Callithrix jacchus: one gene and its partners. The protein of the gene in region 1 purifies or fractionates together with the protein of each later gene. This does not show direct contact. Links are inferred from orthologs where the notes say so. Each region holds a gene or a part of one and is shown in the gene's direction. Other genes may lie near its edges. The genes, in order: RUVBL2, ACTR6, EPC2, NOPCHAP1, RPAP2, POLR2B and DKC1.

Region 1 (3,958 bases):
TAATTTTTGTATTTTTACTTAAGATGGGATTTTACCATGTTGGCCAGGCTGGTCTGGAACTCCTGGCCTCCGTTGATCCACCTGCCTCAGCTCCCAAAGTGCTGGAATGGGATTACAGGCCTGAGCCACCACGCCCGGCCTCGGACAGGGCTCTTGTCCTACAGGGTGATATGGAGTGAAATGAGAACCTGTGTGTGCTGTGTGAGCCATAAACACAGAGTACTTGTGATCATTAGCCCTTGTGGTTAGTTCTTGGTACTCTTATGTGATTAATCAGGTCTCAGTGACTTTGGTTTAACTAGGATGCATCCTCAGAGCAACTCCAGTTCACTGAGCATTTAGCACATTCAGCCATCTTCTTAGTGAGGTGGCCATTTGGGAAATCCTTCCCTGTGCCCCTTCATTTCCCCAAGCCCCTGCTCCCTACTCCCACCCACCCCTTTGACCAAAAAGGAAACCAGGACTCAGAGGTGTCAGGCCACACGTGCAGCAAGCTGACTAACTGAGTCTCTGTTCTCTCCCTGCATACAGGTGCTCACTCCCACATCCGGGGGCTGGGGCTGGACGATGCCTTGGAGCCTCGGCAGGTAGAGCAGAGGAGGCTGGGGTGTGAGGGCCTCTCCACGAAGGTCTGGGGTGTGAGGGCCTCTCCACGAAGGTCTGGGGTGTGAGGGCCTCTCCACGAAGGTCTGGGGTGTGAGGGCCTCTCCACGAAGGTCTGGGGTGTGAGGGCCTCTCCACGAAGGTCTGGGGTGTGAGGGCCTCTCCACGAAGGTCTGGGGTGTGAGGGCCTCTCCACGAAGGTCTGGGGTGTGAGGGCCTCTCCACGAAGGTCTGGGGTGTGAGGGCCTCTCCACGAAGGTCTGGGGTGTGAGGGCCTCTCCACGAAGGTCTGGGGTGTGAGGGCCTCTCCACGAAGGTCTGGGGTGTGAGGGCCTCTCCACGAAGGTCTTGGGTGTGAGGGCCTCTCCACGAAGGTCTGGGGTGTGAGGGCCTCTCCACGAAGGTCTTGGGTAGTGGGCACCAGGGCCCTGGGGAGTGTGGGGACTATGTTACGGTCTTCCAGACCTTTGCCTGCGTATCCATAAACTTCAGCCACATGTGGGTTTTCTTGGTACTAAAGAATTGGGTAGGCTGGGCACAGTGGCTCATGCCTGTAATCCCAGCACTTTGGGAGGCTGAGGCAGGCTGATCACCTGGGGTCAGAGTTCGAGACCAGCCTGGCCAACGTGGAGAAACCCCATCTTTACTAAAAATACAAAAATTAGCCAGATGTGGTGGTGCATGCCTGTAATCCCAGCTACTCGGGAGGCTGAGGCAGGAGGATCACTTGAACCCAGGAGGTGGAGGCTGTAGTGAGCTGAGATCATGCCACTGCACTCCAGCCTGGGTGACAGAGTGAGACTCCATCACAAAGGAAAAAAAAAAGAGTTGGGATTGGGCAGCCATGGTTTTGCCACCTTAAAAAAAAATCAGGCTTCATGCAGTGGTCACGCTTGTAATCCCAGCACTTTGGGAGGCTGAGGCGGGAAGATCACTTGAGCCTAGGAGTTTGAGGCCAGCCTGGGCAAAATAGTGAGACCCTGTCTCTATAAAATATTTTTAAAATAGCTGGACATTGTGGCACACACTTGTGGTCCCAGCTACTCAGGAGGCTGAACTAAAGTCAGAGGATCTTTTGATCCCTAGAGGTTGAGGCTGCAGTGAGCCGTGACTGTATGATCGTACCACTGTACTTCAGCCTGGATGACAGAGTGAGACCCTGTCTCAGAAAAAAAAAAAGCGGAGAAAGCTGTTTTGGCTTTTCCTGGAAGTCCCAGCTAGTAATGACTGCTTCCATCTCTTTAGCCAAGATGTGGTAGAAATGATGTGTAGCCCAGCAGGAAGTCACCTCATGTGCTGTGTCCCACCCACAGGCTTCCCAGGGCATGGTGGGTCAGCTGGCGGCACGGCGGGCAGCAGGTGTGGTGCTGGAGATGATCCGGGAAGGGAAGATTGCCGGGCGGGCAGTTCTTATTGCTGGCCAGCCGGGCACAGGGAAGACAGCCATCGCCATGGGTAAGAAACCTCCCAGGGCCGGAACTCCCGTGGCCTCTGCTCGATAACCCCTCCTGTGTAAGTCAGGGTCAGGATCACCCGCATTTAACAGATGACCCAAAATAGCAGTGGCTTAAACACTCAGGCTTCATTCTCTTCCATGGAAGAATATAGAGGGAGGCCATTTGGAGCTTACTAAGCAGTCCCAGGAAGTCTTCCATCTTCCTGCCTCATCATCCTCTGCACTTGGTTCCAGTGTCAAGAGGATGTTGTGTTCCAAGAGGGCTGCCTAGGCTCCAGCCTTCCCACCACGATCCAGGCAGCAGGAAGAAAGTTGTCATGAGGGTAAACCCCCTCGACGGCTTCCTTTAACCAGTCACCTTGGAGGTCTTCCATGCGTCTGCTTGTCTCTCATTGACTGGAACTAATCTCATGGTCACGCTCTGCTTCAAGGGAGGCTGGGACATTACATTTCTTGTTGATTTCATAATTTGAACCATTTTTGCCTAAAGAAAATGAGGATTCTTCTGTTGGACAAGAGGCAGTTGTAAAAATTTAAAAATTAGGCCGGGTGTGGTGGCTCATGCCTCTGATCCCAGCACTTGGGGAGGCTGAGGCAGGTGGATCACCTGAGACCAGCCTGGCTAACATGGCAAAACCCTGTCTCTACTGAAAATACAAAAATTAGCCTGGTGTGGTGGCAGATGCCTATAATCCCAGCTATTTGGGAGGCGGAGGCAGGGAGAATCGCTTGAATCCAGGAGGTGAAGGTTGCAGTGAGCCGAGATCACACCACTGCATTCCAGCCTGGGCAACAGAGCAAGACTCTGTCTCCAAAAAAAATAAAAAAACAAAGAAAATGAGGGTTCTGGAACTAAGGAAGCAGGGGAAGGCGGGCGTGGAGTAGCCACCCAGCAGCCTGTTGCAGTCCGCTAGTGGCTTATGGTCTTTTCACTCCCAGCTCTTCCTCATCTTCCGTGTTGAACAGCTATTCGTCCTTCCAGACCGACGACTTCAGCATCTCTGCCTCACTGAGGCTTTTCCTAACCCACCTCTCTGCCCACCCACTCCCACCTCTGTGCTGCGGCTGGGGCCAGGCAGGGAGAATCAGAGTAACAACCAGGTGGGTGTTCAGTGAGGGTAAAGCAGTGTCTTCTGGGGCGCCCTGGGGCGCCGGGCCTCGGACTGGACACCAGGTACCCACAGATGAGTTAGACCAAGGCCTGAATTCAAAGAGCTCCTGGTCTGGAGGAGGCGGTCATGGACACGATCCCTTCCAAGGTGACATGTGTTACAATGGAGGTAGCACAGGACAGAGGAGGCTCCCGACCTCGGCAGGAAAACAGAACATGTGGTGGCATTTGTCGGGAGAGGCTTCCAGAAAAGCGGATACCTGAGCTAATCCTAGTGGGATGCCCAGGAGGCTCCAGGGCAGACACGGGGTGCAGCACGTCTAGGCCCAGAATGCGGCACACACAGTGCCTTCCCTCCCTGCATCCCTCCATCCTTTGTCTTTTCCTCATCGTATTTATTTATTTATTTACTTAGAGACAGAGTCTTGCTTTTTCACCAGGCTGGAAGTGCAGTGGTGCAATCTTGGCTCACCGCAACCTCCGCCTCCCAGGTTCAAGTGATTCACCTGCCTCAGCCTCCCGAGCAGCTGGGACTACAGGCACACACCACCACGCTTGGCTAATTTTTGTATTTTTAGTAGAGACGGAGTTTCACCATGTTTGTCAGGATGGTCTTGATCTCTTGACCTTGTGATCTGCCTGCCTCGGCCTCCTAAGGTGGCCCATGGTGCCTGACGTTTTTGTTTTGTTTTTTTGAGACAGTTTCGCTCTGTTGCCCAGGCTGGAGTGCAGTGGCATGATCTTTGCTCACTGCTACCTCCGCCTCCCGGGTTCAAGTCATCCTCCTG
Region 2 (3,958 bases), on another chromosome or scaffold:
GTTTTATTTGCAGAGATTTCTAGATCCCATAATACACTTAAATAATTATTGATTTGGCCGGGCACAGTGGCTCACGCCTATAATCCCAGCACTTTGGGAGGCCGAGGCGGGTGGATCACGAGGTCAAGAGATTGAGACCATCCTGGTCAACAAGGTGAAACCCCGTCTCTACTAAAGATACAAAAATTAGCTGGGCATGGTGGTGTGCGCCTGTAGTCCCAGCTACTCAGGAGGCTAAGGCAGGAGAATTGCTTGAACCCAGAAGGCGGAGGTTGCGGTGAGCCGAGATCGTGCCATTGCACTCCAGTCTGGGTAACAACAGTGAAACTCCGTCTCAAAAAAAAAAAAAATTATTGATTCATCTTTGATTATAAGTTTTTTTTCTTTTATCTTTTCTTGTGATTATAAATTTGACAGAGGAAAAATCATTATGGTCCATTTAAACTTGAAGAAACATATCTCTCCATGAGTATTAAATTGCCATATCCATTTTAGAAAAGTTTTAATTTAATCCAGATCTGTATAGAATAGAAATTTATAATTTAACAGTTTAATGGTTTTCAGCTATTGATGGATTGACTTATAATTTCTGTTATATTTAGACTAACATACAGGATTAATATTAAAGAGATTGGAATATGATGCTTCATAGTGATTTCATGCCTTAAGTAAATAATGTTCTAGAGTTTTAGAGTACTTTAGTATCTCCCTAGTTCACAAGAAGTAGGCATTGGAGAAAATCTAGCACAGGCCATGTGCTTTCCTCTCATTGAAAAAAAAGAAAGAAAGAAAAACATACTGCTATCCTTACATAATTATTTCACAGCTGTTTTGATATTTCACATTTTATATAAAGTTGCAGTCATGATGTTACAACATTTTGTACTACACTGCTTTAATGTCATGGTAGAGTGAGACTTAAAGTCACTATAAGGAAACTCTGCCCTTGTTTTGGTGAACAGAAACATTAGGTGGGATGGCTGGTACCTGTTAATTCCTGATGGATTTCCCAGTGATGTTTTGTTGGCTTTTGATACTTAACATTTGCTATTATGTAACTTTAATGAGTGTTCATGCTTAGATCCCTTGTTTAAACAAAGATTATGAATGTGGCTGGGTGCGGTGGCTCAAGCCTGTAATCCCAGCACTTTGGGAGGCCGAGGCGGGTGGATCATAAGGTCAAGATATCGAGACCATCCTGGTCAACATGGTGAAACCCCGTCTCTACTAAAGATACAAAAAATTAGCTGGGCATGGTGGCGCGTGCCTGTAATCCCAGCTACTCAGGAGGCTGAGGCAGGAGAATTGCCTGAACCCAGGAGGCGGAGTTTGCGTTGAGCCAAGATCGTGCCATCGCACTCCAGCCTGGGTAACAAGAGCGAAACTCTGTCTCAAAAAAAAAAAAAGATTATGAATGTTTTTAACTATCAAAGGTAAGTATTGCATAACATACGTTTGCCTCAGTGAGATAATATGGAGATTGGGACTTGTAAGTTCAAATGTCATGAAACACCTTGGTTTCATCCTTATGGTAGCTTACAGTCTCAGCCCATAGCAAGACCCCTCCCCCCCATTTTAGAGAAGAATGATTATAATTATCAACTCTTTGTTACTATAGTAACACTTATATATGGCTTACATGAGTGTACAATAAGTAGCCAGTAGTTCACCCTCCTCACCTTAACTTTTAAAGATCTGTGAAGTCATATTTCACTGTTTAATGTCTTCACTTGTATAAACTGTAACCTCATTACAAATCTTAGAGTCGACCTGAAAATGTATTTGGTTTCCCAGCAGTAACTATAATCCTTAATTGCTTATCTGATCCCTCATCCACATCGTTTCAAAAAAGTAAACAGATTTTCTAACGCCTTTTTTCATTTCTTTCTTCATTTCTTCTTTTAAAGAAATGCAGCCACATTTTTTTAAGAACATTGTCTTGACAGGAGGAAACTCCCTTTTCCCAGGATTTAGGGATCGGGTTTACTCAGAAGTTCGATGTCTTACTCCAACAGACTATGATGTTTCTGTTGTGCTGCCTGAAAAGTAAGTGTTGTTTTATATAGAAACAAACATGGAAGTCAGCGTGTAGAAAAGGCAGTATGTTGACTTGAGTTTAAAGCCTGGCTCTCCCATGGTGGCTGGTTTATTTCACCTGCTGAATATTCATTTTTCTTCTTTCAAAAATTAAAATGATAAACCTTACATTTCACTAAATTAAATGGGATAGAAGTATGTACAGTGCCAGTCATTATGTATTGTACACAATGGGACCATCCTGGTCGGCATGGTGAAACCCCGTCTCCACTAAAAGTAAAAAAACTAGCTGGGCATGGTGGCGCGTGCCTGTAGTCCCAGCTACTCGGGAGGCTGAGGCAGGAGAATTGCCTGAACCCAGGAGGCGGAGGTTGCGGTGAGCCGAGATCGCGCCATTGCACTCCAGCCTGGGTAACAAGAGCGAAACTCCGTCTCAAAAAAATAAAAAAATAAACATATGGGGTGATTACTCCCATGTAGTAAGTCAGCCTTGATCCTAAGAGGTTTTTATAGGCAAAGCAATCAAGTTATTGTCTATGTGATTTATCTGAGATGTATTATTTCTTGACAGTTCTGTCAAGAATAGAAATTTAATAATCGAACCATTGTGATACATTTTATCAATTCATAAGTTGTTTCAGAATTTTAAAAAATTTAAATATTTTAAATGACTTTTACTAATGAGTTTTTTAAAATTCAGAATTGTTTTACATCTAACCCATACCCTGTTATGAGAAAAAGTGCATCTCATCACTTCCACTTTAGTGGTTAAAATAAACTAAGGTAGGGCCAGACACAATGGTTCTCACCTTTAATCTCAGCACTTTGGGAGACTGAGGCAGGCAGATCACTTGAGCTTAGGAATTTGAGACTAGCCTGGGCAACATGGCGAAACCTTGTCTCTACCGAAGAATTAGCCAGATGTGCTGGTGTGCACCATTAGTCCCAGCTACTCAGGAGGCTGAGGTAGGAGGATCATTTGAGCCCAGGAGGTAGAGGTTGGAGTGAGCTAGATTGTACGACTGTATGCCAGCCTAGGTGACAGAGCGAGACCCTGTCTCAAAAAACAAAACCCCCAAAAAAAACAAAAAAATGAAAGTAGAGTTTTATAGCTCTAAGGAAGGTTTATAGCTCATCCTATTCAATATTCTTATTTTATAAATATAGAAACAGGAGCTCATGAGTTGGCAAATGCTTTATGGTGAGTTAATAGCAATGATCAGATTAAAACCCAGTTTTCTTACCTTCAGTGAGGACTTCTTACTAAAATACATGTCAAAAAAACCCACCCCTAGTGTTAGTGGCAGAGTTGCAAACAAGACCCCACATATCTGACTCTTAATTCTACAGTTTTGTTTTAAAGCTAAAGTAGAATTTTCCAAAATTAGTAGAATTTAATAGAAGGCTCTCATTGATATCACTTTATTTTACAGCTGTGAGATAAATGAATAAACAATTTTAAACTATTGGATGATTTTTATCACCATTAATGTTTTTATGTTCTCAAGAGTAGAAAGCATATTGGATCCTTATCTTGCATGCATCGATTACAGGCCAAGGGATCCACAGAAATAGGTCTTATTAATTTATTAAATAAATGTTTATTGTATATCTACTGCTTTTTTATATGTATACTTATATATAAATCCATTTTTATAAAAGCATAATGCAAATGTAATAAATACAATAAAGAAACATTTATTGGCCAGGTTTGGTGGACCACGCCTGTAATCCGACCACTTTGGGTGGCCAAGGTAGAGAGATCGCTTGAGTCCAGGAGTTTGAGGTTACAGTGAGTTAGGATTGCACCACTGCGCTCCAGCCTAGGCAATAGCATGTGACCCTATCTCAAAAAAAAAAAAAGAAAGAAAGAAAAGAAATCTTATTTTTTTCTGTAGAGGCAGAGTCTCACCATGTTACC
Region 3 (3,958 bases), on another chromosome or scaffold:
AGGAATGAATGATTGCTTAAGTGTACAATTCACTCTGGATGCATAGATTGGAAGGGTAGTAGAGGTCTATTTTTAAACAAAAAGTTTCATGTCTAATACTAAAGTAAGGAATCTGTGGATGTTTGATATCACCAAATAGTTTGTATTAGTAATAATTTTTATGCAAATAGATGCTGTTAATTATGACTGAGCCTTTTCTAGTTATGTAGCAGGGCTTTCACTTTGTATAATTAGTTGAAAAGCTAATAAACAGTGTTCTGAAATTCAGTATTTTTACTAAATCTCTTTTCTACTCAGCAATGGGGTGTTACATTACATTGAAAAATGATAATTTGATGTCTTGAAATGCTTGTTATGCTACTCTCAGTTTTCTGAGTTTCTGAAGTGAAGCTTTACTGGTCATTGTTCATGTTCACATTATAGTACAGCGTATCAAACCATCCAGCCCCCAATTACAGAGCTGGATGGATGGATGAATGGATGGGGACTCATTTTAACTGTTACCTTGATCTGGACAAAACTGTTCCTCTCTGTTATTGGAAAAATACCTTCCTCTAAATGAATGTACTACATTTTCCAATACCAGGTTTTGTTTCAGGTGGACATTTTAAAAATTTGTTGACATTGAAATTATCTCTTTATGCCATTCCACCTTTTCAACAGCTGGAAGCATTTTTTTTTTCTGAGTATTTATTGAGAGATACTTGTTTATACTTGTATTTTCAGAATTAAAATAGATACAGATTCTCTTATACAGGTGCTGTTCAGATTTTTTTTAACATTTTACTTTTATAGAATAAATTCAGGTCTGATAAGAGTTTGTTGAATAAAGCCAGAAATGTAGATAACTTCTAAAATTATCATTATTTTTAATAGAATCGTAAGAATGATGAAGCCTCTTATGAAAAGATGTTGAAACTGAGACGAGAATTTAGTAGAGCCATAACAATTTTGGAAATGATTAAGAGAAGAGAGAAAACAAAACGAGAATTATTGCACTTAACCTTAGAAGTTGTGGAGAAAAGGTAACATTGCTCCTGTTACAGCAATAAAGTGGCAGCTTTACCAAGTGATGGACAAAATGAACCAGAAGATTTTTGGGCGGGGGGCAGGTTAAACTTTATGACAGTTGATATTGATTCTGTAAGAATTTATATTTTTTAAAGATTTGTGGTTACTAGGTTGTTTTTTTCTTTTTATAGATTAAGTTATTCAATTTAGATTGCAGACTTTGGGAGAGTTTTTATATACTATAGATCCTATTCTTAATTTTGTTTTGCAGAATCACTGAATTTTATTTAGAAAAGAACTCTGGTGATCATTTTGTTTACCTCTCTGTATTATAGTTTCTATTAAATAAAATCTAAGGGAAATGAGTATTGATTTTATTTTCTGAGTAGATAGACTTTTTTATTCCTTTTAGAAATGTGTTCTCTAATGTATTTTCCTACAAAATTAAAAATAACTAAACTAAAACAGAATTTTGTGTGATTCCTGAAGTAAGCATTCCAAACATTTCTCAGTGACTGATTATATAATGTATGTAAGAAATTTATTTTCTGTGTACCTTAGATTTTTTTTTTTTAGTTTTTTGGTTTGTTTTGTTTTTACTAAATCTCTGGTTGTTTATTCCTGTAAATTTTGTCTTTTAAAAATAATTTGATTGTTAGCTCTTTTTGACTAGGTGCCTTCCAACTAATGGAGGTATCATTTATTTTCCTTCTTTATTATTAAACTATGCAATGTTTTCTTATATTTTGTTATTTTTTTTCAAGATATCATTTGGGAGACTATGGGGGTGAAATTCTTAATGAAGTGAAAATCAGTAGATCAGAGAAAGAGTTATATGCCACTCCAGCAACTCTTCATAATGGAAATCATCACAAAGCTCAAGAATGTAAAACTAAGGTGAATATTGTCTGGGAAGAAGCATGTATGGTAATGTTGATCAGATAATTATTGATTTCTGCAGTTGTCTTAATATGGTTTGAGTAAGGAAAAAGCAGTTAACATGAATTTAGTTCTTAACATTTGCCCAGTACTTTGCTAGGAGTATTTGTACACATTCTGATCCATTAATCCTCATAACAACCCTTAGAGGTAGTTGTGTCTTTGTGACTTCTAGATATGGCTAGTAAGTGGCAGATTCAAGGTTTCAGTTCAGGTCTAACAGTTCATCACTTTCAGTATGCTATCTGCCTCCCTAGAGAATAAGGGTAATTAAAGTCTAGTTATTATCACTAAGCTTAGCAAACCTTACATTGTAATGGAAGGAATCAGCACCTCAAATTAAAGCTTTATTCATTGAGACTATTGAAAACCGTTCTTGTTGTCATTTCCAGAGCCAGCATTTATCAATTGTTACCTACCTTGAGTGACTTTGAGAAAGTCCTTTAATTTCTGGGTCACAGTTTATTCTTAATAAAAGAGCCAGACTCAGTGGTTATTTTAGTCACTTGGACTAGATAACTATATTTATTCAGTCCTCACTTGGTATATTAATTCAAGTATTTAATTGGGAAATAGAATAACTAATAAAGCCTTCAATTTTGAGGAGCGTAGATTTAAATAAGAAACAAGTATTGACTGAAGCCTCTAGACAATAGAGCCTTACTCTGTAGCAAGATTTTTTTAAATGACCTAGGGTGTTTGTGGAAAATTCATCTTTTGAAAATGTACACAGTTCTCATTCTTCTTGGGTTGATTCTTAAAGGTCAAGAAAGAGTGTGGAGCAGGAAGATTCCTTCATTCAGTTCATGTCAATTCAAACACCAGAGTTCTTTCTTATTAATCACAGGCATCTAGCCCACCATCATTATTCTCTCTAAATCTCACTTGCCTCTATAGCCAAAAAAGTTAATGCAAATGTCATTTTGTAAATTATTTTTAAAAATCCATTTTATGTCAATCAATGCTTTTCCTGGGTATGTGATTATTAAGCATTGCAATATGAAAATCTTAACCCATAATTACTGACTGAATCAGCCCTTATTATATATTAATTCTTATTTTAGATCTCCTCTATGAATAAACATTCAGCCCACCTAAATACTAACTTTAGGGATTTGGTTGCATCCATTGTTGTCCTACTCCATCACACATGTTTAATAACTATGTTTACTTTATGACATATCCCACTTTAAAATATGGGAAGTTTCTGAAAGTTGGGACTGTCTTTTTGATGTAATAGTTACACCCATTGTATGAAAAATTTTATATCTCACTATAATTTGCCTTACAAGCAATATTTTTATTGTGTGTACGGTTTTTGACCCTAAAGTAGTTAACATCTGGACTACATGTGGAAATGTATAAATTTTGTAGTTTGTACCTTGGTGCTTAGAACAGTCTTTTCCAACTTTTAAAGTGGCGGATCCCTTTTTATTAAAAGGAATGCCAGTGTGTTAAAACAGTAACAGAGCTGCTCTGTTGAGGGGAGGTGGGAGCTGGAAACCTACCCCTTCAGTCAGTGTCTTTGCCAGATGGCCTCTCAGGAACCTCCACAGAAGCCTGGGGAACTTCAGAACAGTTATTGTTCAGTTGCTGCAGTAATTATACATTCTAAAAAGTGAGGGCTTTTTTCCTAGTTAAGCTTGTTTTTCTCAAAAGGTTGCCATCCATAGAACAGACGTTTTAAAAAATTGGAACTAAGTGTAAAAATAACTTAATAAAGTCATGGTCCAATTGAAGATTTTTAAAAATAAAAATAGTTGTTAATTTTGTCAATATAGTAGATTTAAATAAGAATTGAATTTAAATACCTTTTAAATACTGGATTACATAATAGAGCAATCCAAAAAATCACTCACATCTTACTTTTAAGAAGTAATAGTATTAAAAGCAAATTTAAATACATAATTATTTTTCATCATAAGTTGCAGAAAGTAAAACATGTTTCAGTTTATGAACACAGAATAATTTTTGCTTATTAAAAAACATTAAATCACCTCCTGGGTAA
Region 4 (3,958 bases), on another chromosome or scaffold:
TTCTGTATTACATGAATGTCCTCTATGAATTCACTCCTTTTTTTTTTTTTTTTTTTGAGACAGAGTTTCGCTCTTGTTACCCAGGCTGGAGGGCAATTGCGCGATCTCGGCTCACTGCAACCTCCACCTCCTGGGTTCAGGCAGTTCTCCTGCCTCAGCCTCCTGAGTAGCTGGGATTACAGGCACGCGCCACCATGCCCAGCTAATTTTTGTATTTTTAGTAGAGACGGGGTTTCACCATGTTGACCAGGATGGTCTCGATCTCTTGACCTCGTGATCCACCCACCTCGGCCTCCCAAAGTGCTGGGATTACAGGCGTGAGCCACCGTGTAATTCACTCTTAATGTTAAAAAAAAAAAAAGACAAGAATTCAATGAAAACTTATGTAAATAAGCGTGAAGGTGTCACATCAATAAACTAAGAAATCATGAGTACTCTGAAAGGGGAATTTAACCTTAGCATTATTTCTGTAGCAGTAAATCCATAATAGCTAAAATGACCTCATGGTGGCTGTCCATCCAAAAATCAGTTTTTGTGGATATAGGTTTTTGTTTTGAGGGGTTACATACTTAGGAGTGGGATTGCAGGTATATGGAAGGTGTAAAATTCTTTTTTATGAAGAAGAAATTGCCATTTTGCATTTCCGCCAGCAAGGTATGAGAGTTTATATGCTACACATCCTAATCAAAATGTGGTATGGTCTTTTTAATTTTAGCTATTCTAGTGCAGATATAGTGGTATCACGTTGTAATCTTAATTTGTTTCTAATGATTAATAATGTTGAGCATCTTTTCATGTGTCACTATTTGTGCATCTTTTTGAAGTGCCTGTTCAAATCTTGAATGCATTTAAAAAAATCAGGTTCTTATGGTAAACATCATTCGTAATAGTGCGGCTCTGCCAACAATAGACTTACCAGCCTTTGTGTTTCTGAGGAAGTCTTTATTTTGTTTTCAGTTTTTGGAAGATGCTATAATGGATTTAGAATTCTAGGTTGACAGTGTGGTGTTTTGCTTTTTCTTTTTTTTCTAGTACTTTAAAGATGTCTTTTCAGTGGCATTGTTTCTGATGCCAGTGTCTACTGTCATTTTGTGTCATGAATATGGTGTTTCCTTTTTCCTCTGGCTGCCTCTAAGATTCTCTTCATCACTGGCTTTTACCAATTTTATGGTGAGGTGCCCTTTGTAGTTTTCTTTGTGCGTCTTGAGCTTGGGTTTGTTGAACATACTGGATCTATGAGTTTATAATCTTTATCAAATTTGGGGAACTTTTTAGAGATTATGTTGTTGTTGCTCCCGTCGTGCCTGCTTTGCCTCTCCCAAAGGGACTCCAATTACACCTAATTTTGCCAGTTAAAGTTGCCCCACAGCTCGTTGATTGGGTATTGCATGTTATGTGTTTCAATTTGGATAGATTCTATTGCTGATTTTCTTGAGTTCACTGTTCTTCTATATTGTCTAATCTGTTAATTCCATCAAATATGTTTTTTCAAGATAGATACAGTTTCCATCTCTAGAAGTTTGAGATGTTTACATCTTCTGTTTCTTTCCTTGGGTTTGTGCTTTGCTTTTCTTCCTTAAACATATAGAGCATATTTGTAAGAGCAGTTTTAACATTCTTATTGCTGATTCTGTCTGTATCATTTCTGAATCTATTTCTATTTTTTTCCCCTACTCTTTATGTATTTGGTTTTCCTATCTATTTGCATGTTTGGTAATTTTTTATTAGATGCTGGACATTTTGAATCTTATGGTTTGTATGATGGATTTTATTTAATTTAGAAGAACTACAACTGGACTAGCCTCAGGGTTCAGCATATACTCTCCAAGAGTACCATGGAAATATTTGGCTTCTGAGAATCACGGTTCAGGCCACACATTTTGGTTCTTGTTTTGCTCTACTTGATTCATTAGTTGGAAACAAAACAGAACCAGATTTTCTATCTCTAGCAATAGATTTAAATCTGAGGACAGAGAAATAACTTTATTTTTATCAGTAATTTCTCTGTCTCTCTGAAGGGGAATAAGAGCTACCCTTCACTATTGTGTAGGGCTTTGTTTGTGAACATGCTCTTGGGGAGTCCTTCCAGCACCTTATTTTACAAATAAAGGTCATCTACTTGACCTTGACCACCACTTTATTTCTTCTTCCATACTCTGGACATTTTAGTCATCTATTATGTAGCCATAGCACTGACATAAGTTTTGAGAGCCTGTTATATGCATGGTTATGTGCTGGGCCTCTTTCGAGAGAGAAAAATAAATAAATATCCTTAGTTCATTGATTGCTCTGTACTTGGCACAATGGCTGACAATTATCACTCCTCTTTTATAGATTAGGTTTCAAGTGGTAAAATTAAATAATTAAATGTATTAATTAGGACTCTTGGTTGCAAATGACTAAAATCCAGCTCAGATAGCCTTAAGCAAAAAAAAAAAAAAAAAGAAATTATGTTGGCTGTTTTTATTGGGGAAAAAAACTCCAGGGGTGGTGATTTCAGGTACATCTGGATCTAGGTGCTCAAAGTCCTCAGGGATCAGCCACTCTGTCTCTTATTTCTGCTTTCCTAGTGTTGACCTAATCTAGGGCATGCTCTTATCTCAGGTGTGGCAAGTTGCCAGTTTATCAGGAGCTTCAGCCTTATATTCAGCAACTCAGTCAGTCATTCAGCAAGATTTCTCTCTCAACAGATCAACAAAAGGCCCTGAGTTAACTTATTGGCCCGACTAGAGCGTTGTGTCACTGGTATGCCACTAAAGCACATTACAGTGACTAAGGATATGGAGGATGTAGGCATGTATGGGGTGAGGGACAAGAGTGACTAAAAGTGACACAAGCTTAAAAGGAAAGCCGGGGTTATATGATCAGAAGAAAGGGAACAGATGTTGGGTAGGCAGAAATAACCACTACTTAATTAGCAGGCCCAAGGTAATTCAGATAGAGGTAGAACTAGGATTCTATATATAACCTAGTCAGTCTTACTCTAAAACCTCAGAACCTGGTACTCTTAACTGTTAAGCCACACTGCCTCCCTATTTAGTTACTGTTTGTTGAATGCCAGCCTTCTAAGAGTTTACGGTCCTGGGGATATATGAGAAACATAAAAACATTTGAAAACAATTTTTTGCTGAATTGTATTGTCCTACTGCTTTATTCAGAAGAGGATGAAGGGTTTTTCAAAGAAGGGAATTAAAAGATATATAATTATGGTTGTTATTATTAGTACTCAATTCAGAAGTGTTTATAGGAAATCCTGAGTTTCAGAATTTACTGGCATAAATGTTGATATACTGTATTTACTTTCCACAGTGTTGGATCAGGTACAGACCTTTCTCCCACAGATGGCACAGGCAAATGAAAAGCTAAGAAAAGAAATGGCAGCTGCACCACCTGGTCGTTTCAACATTGAAAACATTGATGGGACTCATGGCAAAGTTATACAAATGGTAACTGCTTTGTTTTCATATGGTGAAATTACTAGTTCACCTTGCTACCTGAGAAGAAGAGAGAACTTTTCCATTTTATTTTCAAGTGTCATTTTCCTGGTGTTAGCTCATGTTTCGAATGTTGTATAGGTACATAGTCATTTTATGATTTAGTCATATGTCATAGGAGGGTTTTTTTTTTCCCCAAGTCAAATATTACATTTGTTATTCTGAAGCATTAATTTGCTAAATGTCCTAACTGGATTTTTTTCTGTCCAAGCTCCAAAAGAGGTAGTTATAGTCTGATTTATTCAGTATATAAAAATAAATGATGTGTGGAAGAGAGCAATTGATTACATAGGCTCTGTGTAAAAATGTTCTCTCGTTTATACTCATCTCTTGTTTCTGCACTGGAATTCTCTTTATAATATCTCTGCCTGGACAGAGCTGAGACAGTTGTGAATAATATGTAATTCATTAGTCAGTCTGGTCAGCTCTACCTCCAGAATATATCCCAACTCCAGTCACTTTGT
Region 5 (3,958 bases), on another chromosome or scaffold:
AATCTAGTTCTTCCAGCACTCATAGTGATAGTAGCAGTGATAATGAGCAAGACTTTGTTTCCTCCATTCTACCAGGAAACAGACCAAATTCAACAAGTATTAGACCACAGCTGCACCAGAAAAGCATAATGAAAAAGAAGGCTGGTCACAAAGCTAACTCCATACACAAAGAACAGACAGTAGTAGATGTCACTGAGCAGTTAGGCAATTGCAAATTAGATAGTCAGGAGAAAGCTGCTACAGGTGAACTTCCCTTACAGAAAGTAAATACTGAGAATTCTCCAAATAGTACTTTGCCTGAAAGATTAAAAGCTTCAGAAAATTCTGAAAGTAAATACAGTAGGTCAGAAATAACTCTAGTAGGCATAAGTAAGAAAAGTGTGGAGCATTTTAAGAGAAAATTTGCCAAATCAAACCAAGTGTCTAGGTCAGTATCTGGTTCAGTGCAGGTGTGTCCTGAAGTTGGAAAGAGAAACTTACTTAAAATTTTGAAGGAGACTTTGATTGAGTGGAAGACAGAAGAAACTTTGAGGTTTTTGTATGGCCAGAATTATGCTTCTGTGTGTCTGAAACCCGAAGCCTCTCTGGTTAAAGAAGAACTTGATGAAGATGACATAATCTCAGATCCACATAGTCATTCGCTTGCCTGGAGGGAATCTCAGAACAGCTTGGATGAGTCTTTACCTTTTATGGGCTCAGATACAGCCATTAAACCACTGCCAAGTTACGAGAACTTGAAAAAAGAAACTGAAAAGTTAAATCTGAGGATCAGGGAGTTTTATAGAGGACGGTATGTTTTGGATGAAGAAACCACCAAATCACAAGACTCAGAAGAGGTATGTCTTACAGGCATTGAGTTTTTCCAGGTCATTAACATTTGGAAAACTCACCACAGCAAATCCTGGATAAGGAGGGATATTGAAGAGATAATTGTTAAATTTTCAAATAGTTTCTTTAGTCATTCTGCCTTTTGGTTTACAGTGCCATCTCCATTGTTGGCATTACTATTTTATAGATAATGTGCAATTTTTTTCTAATGTAAAAATATCCTAAAATGGTGGGACAAAGTTTTCCCTAATTCTACAAATAAGAAATGAAGCCTCTGAAGAGGCTTGTTTTTTCTTCTTCGGTATGTATTCTTTCAGATTTATACATGGGTGTGTGTGTGTATGTTTAATGGAAGTATATGCTATGGAATAGACTTGCTAGTTACATTGGAAAATATTTAGCAAGCATGCCCATTTAAAATATTATAGATGAAAATAATTTGTAAAAGAGACTTATTGGGAAAGAATGGACAAAGAGAATGGAAAGCACATTCAGATAGACCTAGATTTGAACATCTGTTTTGTCATTTACTAGCTGTTGAAAAATTAGTTTCTTGCTTTGTTTGCTCATCTGTAAATGGGACTATTAATAGCTTCTCTTGCTCAATTGTTATTCATTTTAAAGATAATGTTTGTAAAGCGTTTATCATAGTACATGACATATAACTGACACTCAATAAATAGTACCCATATGTAGAGATTGAAAATGTGCCACAGAGATTTAGTATTTCTACTACCCATTTTTGACTGATGTGTACTCCCTGGAAAATGAAGTCATTTAACATGAAGTGAAATGGGCAGTAACCTTGTTTTTACCACAAAACTTTATTCTCAAAAATTGCTAAGTAATTATGGCTCTCAATTTAAACGCACATTGGAGATTTGGAAAGAGGGTAGAAGAAGAAATATAGCAAAAGATTTAAAAATGTCTTGTATTTCTATAGAGTGTTGCTTGGCCCAGCACCTTACTTCAAATCGTTTCAAGTATATTATTAGACATCATCCGAAACTTGTATTAAGCTGGGAGAAGCATTGATCATTGTCACTGAGGTGCATAAACCCACCATAGAATATCACTTATTTTATCATTTTGTGCATTTTAGCCTTAAAAGGGAAAAAATAATCCCTGAAATTTTTTTTGTAAATTTATAACATTTTCCAAAAATATTATGTAACACTTTAAAACATTTTCACTGAGGTATAACACAAATAGTAAGTATATGATTTCTTGAATTTTCACATATGAATATACTGATGTAATCACTACCCAAGCCAAGAAATAGATCATTACAAGTAAACTAGAATCCCCATATATATCCCCTCCTAATCAGTACCTCTTTTCAAAATTAATATTATATTAGCACAGATTAGTTCTGTCAGTTTTTTTGACAGTATATATTCTTGGCGTCCAATTTATTTCATGCAATATTATACCTTCAAGTCATATGTGTTGTTGCATAGAGCTGTAGTTCATTCTCTTATTGCTGCATAGTATTCCATTATATAAATACACCATTTATTTATGCTAATGGACATTTAGACTATTTCGAATTTGGGGCTATTATGAACAATATTCTTATGAACTTTCTTGTATTTATCTCTGCTAATATGCATATGTATTTCTGAAGTATCTAGGACTGGGAATGGTAGGTTATTATATTTGCATGTATGCAGCTATACTAGATAATGCCAAACAGTTTTCCAAAGTGGTTGTACCAGTTTACAGTTCTGCTACTACTATATGGGAGTTTTCTTGACTCCACGTCCTCCCTAGTACTTGATATTGTTAGTTTTAGCCATCCCAGTAATATTGCTTTGTGATTATAATACATTTCTGTGATGACTAATGAATTCAGCACTATTTTATTTGCTTATTGACTACTTGGATAGTCTCTTTTTTGAAGTACCTATTCAAGTCTTTTTTCTATTTATCTGTTGGAATATCTGGGAGGTTTAAAAAATGATTTGTAGGGCTTCTTTATATATTCAGGATTAAAGTCCTTTTTCAGTTATATGTGTTGCAAATATTATCTTCTACTCTAAGACTTGACCTTTCAATCTTTTTAATAGTGTCTTGAGTCCAGTTTATTAATTGTTCCCTTCAGTACTTCTATAGTAAATCTTTACTTAGTCCAGATTATTTTATCTTCTAAAAGCTTTGTGGTTTTTCCCTTCACATTTAGATCTGTAACTCATCTGGGATTGATTTTTGATTATGGCAAGGAGTATGGGTCAGATTTCATGTTTTCCCATATAGATATCCAATTTACCCAGCACCATGTATTAAAAAGATTCTCTTATCCCTGTTCTGTAGTGTGGCCCTTGTCATAAATCATATTTTTATAAATGTGTGGGTTAATTTGTCTATGTATCTATCTCTGGGCTAATACCATGCTGCCTAATTATAGTAGCTATATATAGTCACATACTGCATAACAACATTTCAGTCAACAATGGTCCATATATACAATGATGATCCCATAAGACTGTTATAATACATTTTTACTATTGCCTTTTCTGTGTTTAGATACAAATAATTGCCATTGTGTTACAGTTGCCTACAGTATTCAATACAGCAACATACCACCCAAGTTTGTACTTAACAGCAATGGGCTATACCATATAGCCTAGGTGTGTAGTACCATCTCAGTTTGTGTAAGTACACTCTATATTTGCACAATGACAAAATCGCCTAACAACACATTTCTTAGAATGCATCCTTGTTGCTAAGTGACACATGACTATAAAATTTTAATATCTAGTAGAATAGCTATGTTTAAAGTCTGCTCAATAACATTTCATAGTTCTCTGTGTAGAGGTCTTAAACATATTTCATTGCATTTATTCCTAGGTATTTGGGTTTTTATATGCTTTAGAAAGTGATGTCATTTAAAAAATTTTTTTCTAACTGATATTTATGTAGAAAATCAATTAATTTTTGTCTGCATTAACCTTGTAGCCAGTAACCTTGCTAAACTTACCTAGATTATGAATTATAATAATTTACAATAATTAAATTATCAATTCTAATAATTTATAGATTCATTTGGATATTTTACATATGTGGCCATGTCTTATGTGAATAACAGTTTTGGTTTTTTACATTCCAATTGTTATTCCCACTATTTCTT
Region 6 (4,629 bases), on another chromosome or scaffold:
GAGGCCATGGAGCGCGGCCGTGGGAACGGATCCACGCAGGAAAGGGCTCAAGAGCCTGAACGTTAGGCGCGCAGGCAGCATGAGGAAGTAGCTCCAGGCGAAGGGGCGGAGCCACAAGCTCGCGCGCTCACTAGGCCCCGAGGCGCGCGAGACCCGAGACTAAAGCGCGTGGGTACTTGGGAGGTGTCTTGGTTCTTCTCCTGTCTAATCCCGTGTGTTCTCGCGATTAAAGCGCTGAGACTGAGAACCTAGTTAAAGCTGCCGCAAAGGCACCGGAGGGTTAAGCTAGGTGGGCGGAAGAGATCTGCGTGTGCTTTGGGTTTTTCACTTTCTTTTTTTTTTGAGACGGAGTTTCGCTGTTGTTACCCAGACTGGAGTGCAATGGCACGATCTCGGCTCACCGCAACGTCTGCCGTCTGGGTTCAAGCAATTCTATTGCCTCAGCCTCCCGAGTAGCTGGGACTACAGGTGCGCACCACCATGCCCAGCTAATTTTTGTATTTTTAGTAGAGACAGGGTTTCACCTTGTTGACCAGGATGGTCTCGATCTCTTGACCTCGTGATCCACCCGCCTCGGCCTCCCAAAGTGCAGGGATTATAGGCGTGAGCCACCGCGCCCGGCCGGTTTTTCACTTTCCACCATCTTTAACGCCTCACTGCTATCACAAGCAGCCCTTAATAAATCACATTTAAAAACGAGCTTCCGGCCGGGCGCGTGGCTCACGTCTGTCAGCACTTGGAGAGGCCGAGGCGGGTGGATCACCTCAGGTCAGCAGTTCGAGACCAGCCCGGCCAACATGGTGAAAGCCCCGTCTCTACTAAAAATACAAAAATTAGCTGGGCATGGTGGCGCGCGCCTGTAATCCCAGCTACCTGGGAGGCAGAGACAGGAGAATCGCTTGAACCTGGGAGGCAGAAGTTGCAGTGAGCGAAGATCACTCCACTGCACTCCAGTCTGGGCAACAGAACGAGACTCCGTTTCAAAAATTAAATAAATAAAAATAAAACATAGCTTCGTGTTGTTTTGGTCCTTAAAAAGGCAAATAAATTTAACATCCCAATGTCGCGGATTCACAGAACGAACACTTTTTATTAATAACTATACTTGGTTTTGTTTTCAGCTGTCGTTATTTGTGCAACAACATTAAAAAACAAGCAGAAATAAAACATTCACGGGACGGATCCGACCGCAGATTGCGAGAGCTGTCTTTTCAATCAGCCACCAACAGCGGCGGCACACAATTTGCGCGTAGGCAACTCTAATGCCCGCCCCAGCGCGCCCTACACTTTGCGCAGGCGCAGATCCTAACTTTGGCGTCCTTGTGGGCGGCCTTCGTGTGAGACGCATAGTATTCTGGGAACGCTGGAGACGGAAGTTAATTCGTCTATAGCTCCAGACGCTGGTGGCTTCTGTGCGCTCTTTTGTCTTTTCGGTTTCTAGAGTTAGGAACTCGGGAATCTTTTGGCAGTATGTACGACGCGGATGAGGGTAGGTGAACACTCAAAACACACGCCATGGCGGTCCATTTAAGCAGGGAAGCGTGGGGAAGTGGTCGGATGGAGGATTTGGGGCCTTCCCACGCGCCGGCCGCGTGGTCCCCAGCCTTGTTACCATACTTTCCACGCCGGGAACGAAACTAGGCTAGGGAGGGGCAGAGGGTGCAGGGAACATAGCATTAATGTTGCTGATTAGGTTCACTGCTGCTCTCTGCCCTTTCTCGTTCCGTTAGATCTAATCCCCGCCTCCTGTATTGTAGTAGCGTGCAGAACCGTAAGATAAATTCCGTTGTTTTGAATTTGTCTGAAGCAAAGGGCACCCTTTAAAAATTATCCTAAAAGCCACAGTCGATTTACTGAATAGCTCAATTGATGTCAGCATGTGCAAGGCAATGCGGAAGGCCCTGGAAATACACCGGGACAGACTATCGGAGGAGGGGGGTGGGGGGCGAAACGGTTTAGTCTCACATTTCTTCATGCTTTTTGTAAGTGAAATTGTCTTAAAGGATGGCCTTTAACCTTCTTCTCACAATGCCACAGTTCTCAGATGATATATATTCTGTTGCACCGGACCAGTGTATAGCTTTTTCTTTGCGCATATAGATTTCTTAGTAGTGGCTGAGTGCAATGGCTCACCCCAGCACTTTGGGAGGCCGAGGCGCGCCGATTGCTTGAGACCAGCCTGACCAACATGGGGGAAATCCCATATCTACTAAAAATAGAAAAATTAGCTGAGTGTGGTGGCCTGCGCCTGGATTCCCGTCTACTCAGGAGGCTGAGACCGGAGGATCACTTGAACCCAGGAGGCGGAGGTTGCAGTGACCCGAGATTGCACCACTGCACTCCAGCCTGAGTGACACCCATCTCAAAAAAAAAAAAAAATTCTTAGTCGAGTCTAGTGTATTTTCGTAGCTGCCTTTTCCATAGCTGCCTTTTCCATTCTCCGTATCTACTAATTCAAACCTTATTTTCTTCTAGCTCTTAATTCTGTGGCTACCCCTTACATCTCTATTTCCTCAGCTACTTCTGATAAATTAGATGGAAAAAATTGAAGCAAAAGCTTAAACTTTTTTTTTCTTTTGAGACTCAGTCTAGCTCTAGGCTGGAGTGCAGTGGCACGATCTTGGCTCTTTGCAACCTCCGCCTCCTGGGTTCAAGCGATTCTCCTGCCTCAGCCTCCCGAGTAGCTGGGATTACAGGTCCCCACCACCACACCCAGTTTATTTTTGTACTTTTAGTAGAAGAGAGGGGTTTCACTCTGTTGGCCAGGCTGGTCTCGAACTCCTGATCTTGTGATCTGCCCACCTCAGCCTCCCAAAGTGCTGGGATTACAAGTGTGCGCTACCTCGCCTCTTTTTTTTTTTTTTTTTTTTTAAAAGAGATGGGGTCTAGCCATGTTGCCCAGGCTGGTCTCAAATTCCTGAGATCAAGCCATCCGCCTGACTTGACCTCCCAAAATGCAGGGATTACAGGCATGAGCCACTGTCCCTGCCCAAAAGCTTAAACTTTTAAAGCTGTTTAAACTTCTTTCTCATTAATATCTTGTGTTCCAGAAATGTATTAGCATCATCATATTCCCTGTTAACTACTCTCTCAGTAGAAGAAAAATAGAAAAAAAGATTTTTTAAAGCATAATTTTTGGCTAGGTAATATATTCTCATAGCTCACAAACCAGAAAATTTAAAAATGTTAAAATACGGTGGCTACTTTAACAACTGAGACCAGCCTGGGCAACACGGGAGACCCCCCTCTCTGTAAAAAATTAGCTAGAGTGTGGTGGTGCTCACCTATAGTCCCAGCTACTTGGGTGGCTGAGGCAGGAGGATCACTTGAGCTTGGGAAGTTGACACTGCTGTAAGTTGAGGACAAAGTGAGACCGTCTCCAAAAAAAAAAAAAAAAAAGTTAAAAGTGTTAGGTCTCCTTCTTATCTACCATCTGCCCAGTTGACCACAGTAGGCAACTAGTGTTATAATAGGTTCTTATCACTCCACAGTTTCTTTTTGTTTTTTGACAGAGTATTGCTCTGTACCCAGGCTTGAGTGCAGTAGTGCAATCTTGGCTTACTAACCATTGCCTCCCTGGTTCAATCAGTTCTCCTGTCTCAGCCTCCCAGGTAGCTGGAATTACAGGCGTGCACCACCATGCCCAGCTAATTTTTGTACATTTAGTAGAGATGGGGTTTCTCCTTGTTGGCTAGGCTGATCTCAAACTCCTGACCTCAGTGATTCACCTGCCTCGGCCTCCCAAAGTGCTGGGATTACAGGTCTGAGGCGTTGGCGCACAGCCTCTACAGTTTCTTTATGCATATTTAAGCAAATATAAATGGGATTGTTTTCTTTTTTTAAGGACAGAAAGTAACGTTTACACTTTACTCCACTTTTAGATTTTGCTTAATGGAGATGTTCTTGTCAGTACACAGAGAGCATCACTTGCTGCCGCCCCTGCCTCCGCCCCCAGCTAAATAGTTTGTGTGGATGTAACTTTAGTGTCTTGATGGATATTTGATTTGATTTATTTCTAGTCTTTTTCCGTTAAAACAGTACTGAGAGTGAATAATCTTGTACATATAATTTGCCCAAATATGTCTTTAGGATACATTCCTACATATAAAATTGTCAGGTCAGATGATACGCACCTTTAAGATTTTGCTAAATGGTGGCAAGTGACCACCACAGTGGTGACTGTTCTAATTTTGTATTCTTATTGGTCATGTATAATGATCCTGTGGGAAAACAAGAGTTAATCAGAGTTGCTTTAGCAGTGAAGCTACATTTTATTTGTGCCCATGTCATCTAAAATGTTTATTAGGTATGTCCTCATCAGTTTTTAGCGACTCCTTTTCAGCTGGCTTCTTTCTATGTGAAAGTGTTGGATTTCTGTCATCCACATGGAAACAAGTTAAACTTTTTTTTTTTTTTTTTTTGAGACAGAGTTTTGCTCTTGTTGCCCAGGCTGGAGTGTAATGGCGTGATCTCGGCACGGTGTGATCTCAACTCACCGCAACCTCCACCTCCGGGGTTCAAGCCATTACTCCTGCTTCAGACTCCCGAGGAGCTGGGATTACAGGCATGTGCCATCACACCCAGCTAAATTAAAAAAATTTTTTTTAATAGAGATGGGATTTCTTCATG
Region 7 (4,562 bases), on another chromosome or scaffold:
AATTTTCAAGGGGCTTATCTCTCACCTTGTGGTGAGACATTTGCCACTTCCTATGCATCAACATGATGTCTGGGGGTACAGTGAGATGATCAAATCAGTTCCCAGGGACTCAATTATGATAATGTGCAGAGGCTTCCTTTGATCTTTCCTTCATTTATCACCCTCAGTCCTTGAGTCAGGAAGCCCCTGTGGGAATTTTTCCAGCCACCAATTGTGTTTATTCTAAGTATGGATTCAAGAAGTGGGGAGAGAGCCACAGGGTGGCTGAGAGTGAAAGGGACATGGGCTGACTCCACTTCTGACAGTGGCATTCTACTTCCCCAGGGATTAACACGAGCTTGTGCAAGTCTCTGGTAAATGTCCATGGGTCCCAGGGTAAAGTAGGAGGCAGGCTTAAACTACACACATGTGCCTGGCCTCACTTTTACAGGCTTACCTCACAGGCTCTGGCCTGTGGACTGTCTAGATCTGGGAATTAGATGAGGCACCATGATTTTCCATTGTGGTGATTCAAGACAGGATGCCTTTAGCCAGATCTAGCGTTACAGGGGTTATACAGATCATGATGGCTTACTATAGGACACCACGATCAATTAGACAGCACCAAAGATCCCTGGGGAGAAATCAGTTTGGTTCCAGCTTCCAGCCTTGCTGCCTATCATGATACCCAGGCTCATCCTGTTTCTATGAGATTTAGTGCCAGTGCTTTGTCTCTGCTGTTTGGCGTGAAGCCTGGTCGTAGAGTTCCAATTGAGGTGTGCTGTGACAGTAAACACACACACACCGGAAAGACCTTGTGGGGACCAAAAAAAAAAAAAAAAAAAGCAAAATATCCCATTCATGCAGTTGTGTTTTGCCTATATGCGGAAATGATAATATTTCGGATACGCTGGGTTAAAAAAATTCATTATTAAAATCAATTTCACCCTTTTCTTTTCACTCTTCTTCCATGTAGCTGCTAGAAAAAGTCAACATGTGGCTCATGCTCTGCTCCTAGTGGCCATCCGCTCTAGCTGGATGGGAACTGCAAGCAGCAAAAGGCTTTCAATCTCTCCGAGCCTCAACATGTTCACTTTTGAATCAGGACTAATCCGACACCAAGCTGAGAGAGTCAGTGTCAGAAAGCAAAGAGCTACCGACTACGCAGCGCTCAGCCGTGAGCCCAGGCGCAGGCGCGGAGGTAAACCCGGAGGTAAACCAACGACAGCTGGGGACACGCCCACAGACTCCGGGCTGCCGGGGAGGGCGGCACTAGCGCTTCCAGCCGGGGCTAATCGGGCTGGTAGAGGCTCGAGGCGCAGGCGCGGTGGCGCGACCCTGGCTGAGCCAGCCAATCGCATTGCGCGGAAGATCCGCGCGCCCGAGCGCCTCGGGTCGCCCCGGGAAAGGCCCCGCCCCCTCCCGCTCCGCGGCGAGGCACGCACAGGGTTGTGCGCGGAGGGGCAGGCCTAGCAGCGCGGCCTCACTGGACTGTGGCGGCGGGAGTCTGCGGTAGTTCTGCGGGCCGTGGACCAGGCGGTACGCACGCGGTGCAGGGTAACATGGCGGATGCGGAAGGTAAGGGCTGCAGGCGTCCGGACTATGCTAACTCCAGGCGACTCGGGGAGCCGGGAATGGGGGATGGTATACGGGCCCGCGCCCACCTCCCTCTGATTCCCGCCGGCGCGTCGGCCTCTTAGCCGACCGGCCTTGTCGCTCGGCCCTGGCTCGATGGCGACGGCGGGAGTGGGAGTCCCTCGCGGTGACTTGGTATGGCGGGGCTCGGGCCTCTCACCGATGACAAGCCTCCCTGGGGTCCGGGTTTTCGTCGTAAGACATCTGTCGTGCTGCCCACCCCGTGGTGGCGGGGGACGTGGCAGCGTTTGTGCTGCTGCTAGCCCGGACGCCGCCAGTATAGCTCCATGCGACGATGGGAGCAAGGGTGGTGGAAACGGGCCGAGAAGAAAAGGAGCCGGGGGACCCGTGAGCAGACATAGCTCCGAGTTGCAAGAAACTTCTAGAGGCCACAAGCTGGCGGGGAGAGTCGAGTGGTCGCTTATGGAACTGTCGGGTCCCCTGCGTGAGCGCTTCTGTGGGATGTTTAAGCCCTGCCATAGCCACGTGGTGAACCGGAAGGCAGTTACCCAGCCATGCGACCCATATATTTGGCCTTACACACTTTGTTTTCTCGCTGACCTACGGATATACTTTCTGAGAAATGGGTCGTTAGGCAATTTCATCGTTGTGGGAACGTCGGAGTGCTCTTACACAAACCGAGATGGCATAGGCCACTACACACCTGGCTGTATATGGTGAGCCTATTGCTCTAGGCTCCAAACCTGCACGGCATGGTACTGTGGGGAATGTTATAGGCAGTTGGAGCACAGTGTCGAGACGATGTGTATTTAAACATGTCTAAGCGGAAAAAGGACAGTAAAAATATAGTACAGGGCTGGGCATGGTGGCTCATGCCTGTAATCCCAGTACTTTGGGAGCCCTAGGCAGGCCGATCACCTGAGGTCAGGAGTTCGACACCAGCCTGGCCAGCATTGTGAAACCCTGTCTCTACTAAAAATACAAACGTTAGTTGGGCATGGTGGCGTATGCCTGTAATCCCTGCTACTTGGGGAGGCTGAGGCAGGAGAGTCGTTGGAACCTGGGAGACAGGTTACAGTGAGCCAAGATTGTACCACTGCACTCCAGCCTGGGCAACAAGAGTGAAACTGCATCTCAAATGTGTATGCATATATAGTACACAAGGTTAAAAGTGGTGCACCCGTAGAGGAGAGCACTTGCCATAAATGGAGCTTGCTGGGCTGGAAGTTGCTTTGGTTGAGTCAGTGACTGAATGTGAAGGCCTCAGACATTACACTACTGGAGACTTTATAAAGTCTGTACACTTAGGCTACACTAAATTTATAAAAATATATTTTTCTTTTTTTTTATTGCATTTTAGGTTTTGGGGTACATGTGAAGAACATGCAAGATTGTTGCATAGGTACACACGTGGTAGTGTGATTTGCTTCCTTCCTCCCCTTCACCTATATCTGGCATTTCTCCCCATGCTATCTCTCCCCAACTCCCCACCCCCCGCTGTCCCTCCTCTATAAAAATATATTTTTCTTCAGAATAAATCAGCCTTAGCTTACTGTAACTTTATAAACTATTTCCTTCAACCCTTGTAATAACACCTAGCTTAAACACATTATTCAGTTGTACATAATTATTTTCTCTGTTTATATCCTTATTTATAACTCTTCTACTTTTTTTTTGTTTTTACATTTTTTTTTTTTGTTAAATAAGACACAAACACACACAGTAGCCTTGACGTACACAGGTCAGGATCATTAAGACATCACTAGGAGACAGGAATTTTTCAGCTCTGTTATAATCTTATGGAGGCCACCGTCACATTTGCAGTCTGTCCTTGAACAAAACATTATGTGGCATGTGACTGTAATTGTAGACCTAAGATCCATTTCCTACCCCTAATTTTGGTTTTTATTTTAAACTCATGCTCATTTATTCTTGGGGAAAATTCTCAAATCCTGTGTTTGTTTTTTTTTTTAGTGATTATTTTACCAAAGAAACATAAGAAGAAAAAGGAGCGGAAGTCATTGCCAGAAGAAGATGTAGCCGTGAGTAGTAATGTGTTTGACTTCACTTTGACTAAAAAGAAGGTTTACTTAAATAACAAACTAAAGGAAAGAAGTGTTTTAAAGGTTTCCAAGAATGGGCCAGGATTGGTGGTCATTGTGTAGATTTGAAAAAGTACTGATATGACAGCCCCAGACAGTCCAAGTCTCCTTCAGGCATAGCTTACTAAATGGTGCTGGGCTTCCCAACTGCTGTCTCTGAATTTCTCTTCCTTATCCCACCCACAGACCCACTATCCCCCTTTCTCTTTAAATTTTTGGACCCATCTTAGTGGCATTTCACTTCCCCTCTGTACTCCTGGTTCATTTCTTCTCTTTCCCCTGGAGGTCCCACTGAAAAGGCATAGAAAGCCTTACTTTCTATTTAAAAGGCACACATTTCCGTGGTAGCAATGGAATTATTCAAAATCGGGTGGGAAGTCTAATAGGTTATATTTCTCTTCTGTGGAAGGAAATACAACACGTTGAAGAATTTCTTATCAAACCTGAATCCAAAGTTGCTAAGTTGGACACGTCTCAGTGGCCCCTTTTGCTAAAGGTATGTGGTTAAGATCAGGCATCAGGTGAATGTCTGCTTTTATGTTATTTCCAAGTGTTAAACAACTGATAGTGTTTAAAGCAGGGTTCCTTAAGGTATCTGAAATGAAGAACCAAGTTTAAAACAAATTGCAATACACTCAACACTGTTGTAGAATACAACATATGTCACCACCACAATATTAGATTGCTAAGTTTGTAAACAATTAGTTCTCAGTTTTTGTACTTACTCCGTCTTGCCGACCTATGCCAATTTGTGGGCCGCATAGTGCTGCTGACTCGTTTTACATGTGTTCGTGACATGTTACTTTGTTTTGTGTTGTGTCGTCACTTTCTAGAATTTTGATAAGCTGAATGTAAGGACAACTCACTATACACCTCTTGCATGTG

Evidence for each region.
Region 2: the proteins of RUVBL2 (region 1) and ACTR6 purify together in Homo sapiens (co-immunoprecipitation; 7 studies listed by BioGRID and IntAct, counting the BioPlex papers as one, with this or other methods). This does not show direct contact. The link is inferred for Callithrix jacchus from reciprocal best matches to the Homo sapiens genes RUVBL2 and ACTR6.
Region 3: the proteins of RUVBL2 (region 1) and EPC2 purify together in Homo sapiens (co-immunoprecipitation; 4 studies listed by BioGRID and IntAct, counting the BioPlex papers as one, with this or other methods). This does not show direct contact. The link is inferred for Callithrix jacchus from reciprocal best matches to the Homo sapiens genes RUVBL2 and EPC2.
Region 4: the proteins of RUVBL2 (region 1) and NOPCHAP1 purify together in Homo sapiens (affinity purification with mass spectrometry; 4 studies listed by BioGRID and IntAct, with this or other methods). This does not show direct contact. The link is inferred for Callithrix jacchus from reciprocal best matches to the Homo sapiens genes RUVBL2 and NOPCHAP1.
Region 5: the proteins of RUVBL2 (region 1) and RPAP2 purify together in Homo sapiens (affinity purification with mass spectrometry; 3 studies listed by BioGRID and IntAct, with this or other methods). This does not show direct contact. The link is inferred for Callithrix jacchus from reciprocal best matches to the Homo sapiens genes RUVBL2 and RPAP2.
Region 6: the proteins of RUVBL2 (region 1) and POLR2B purify together in Homo sapiens (affinity purification with mass spectrometry; 3 studies listed by BioGRID and IntAct, with this or other methods). This does not show direct contact. The link is inferred for Callithrix jacchus from reciprocal best matches to the Homo sapiens genes RUVBL2 and POLR2B.
Region 7: the proteins of RUVBL2 (region 1) and DKC1 purify together in Homo sapiens (affinity purification with mass spectrometry; 5 studies listed by BioGRID and IntAct, counting the BioPlex papers as one, with this or other methods). This does not show direct contact. The link is inferred for Callithrix jacchus from reciprocal best matches to the Homo sapiens genes RUVBL2 and DKC1.

Annotation. Positions count from the first base shown.
Region 1 is NC_133523.1:42,858,078-42,862,035, forward strand, and holds part of RUVBL2 (ruvB-like 2), read left to right. Parts: intron 1-531; coding exon 532-587; intron 588-1,916; coding exon 1,917-2,058; intron 2,059-3,958. UniProt on the Homo sapiens protein: Possesses single-stranded DNA-stimulated ATPase and ATP-dependent DNA helicase (5' to 3') activity; hexamerization is thought to be critical for ATP hydrolysis and adjacent subunits in the ring-like structure contribute to the ATPase activity.
Region 2 is NC_133510.1:103,342,972-103,346,929, forward strand, and holds part of ACTR6 (actin-related protein 6), read left to right. Parts: intron 1-1,907; coding exon 1,908-2,046; intron 2,047-3,958. UniProt on the Homo sapiens protein: Required for formation and/or maintenance of proper nucleolar structure and function. Plays a dual role in the regulation of ribosomal DNA (rDNA) transcription.
Region 3 is NC_133507.1:81,638,517-81,642,474, reverse strand, and holds part of EPC2 (enhancer of polycomb homolog 2), read left to right. Parts: intron 1-876; coding exon 877-1,025; intron 1,026-1,775; coding exon 1,776-1,908; intron 1,909-3,958. UniProt on the Homo sapiens protein: May play a role in transcription or DNA repair.
Region 4 is NC_133510.1:107,922,938-107,926,895, forward strand, and holds part of NOPCHAP1 (NOP protein chaperone 1), read left to right. Parts: intron 1-3,309; coding exon 3,310-3,446; intron 3,447-3,958. UniProt on the Homo sapiens protein: Client-loading PAQosome/R2TP complex cofactor that selects NOP58 to promote box C/D small nucleolar ribonucleoprotein (snoRNP) assembly. Acts as a bridge between NOP58 and the R2TP complex via RUVBL1:RUVBL2.
Region 5 is NC_133508.1:130,052,729-130,056,686, forward strand, and holds part of RPAP2 (putative RNA polymerase II subunit B1 CTD phosphatase RPAP2), read left to right. Parts: coding exon 1-836; intron 837-3,958.
Region 6 is NC_133504.1:139,815,639-139,820,267, reverse strand, and holds the start of POLR2B (DNA-directed RNA polymerase II subunit RPB2), read left to right. Parts: upstream 1-1,371; 5' UTR 1,372-1,470; coding exon 1,471-1,489; intron 1,490-4,629. Other genes in the region: NOA1 (nitric oxide-associated protein 1), read right to left, coding at 1-81. UniProt on the Homo sapiens protein: Catalytic core component of RNA polymerase II (Pol II), a DNA-dependent RNA polymerase which synthesizes mRNA precursors and many functional non-coding RNAs using the four ribonucleoside triphosphates as substrates.
Region 7 is NC_133524.1:150,506,126-150,510,687, forward strand, and holds the start of DKC1 (H/ACA ribonucleoprotein complex subunit DKC1), read left to right. Parts: upstream 1-1,410; 5' UTR 1,411-1,541; coding exon 1,542-1,557; intron 1,558-3,549; coding exon 3,550-3,617; intron 3,618-4,086; coding exon 4,087-4,173; intron 4,174-4,510; coding exon 4,511-4,562.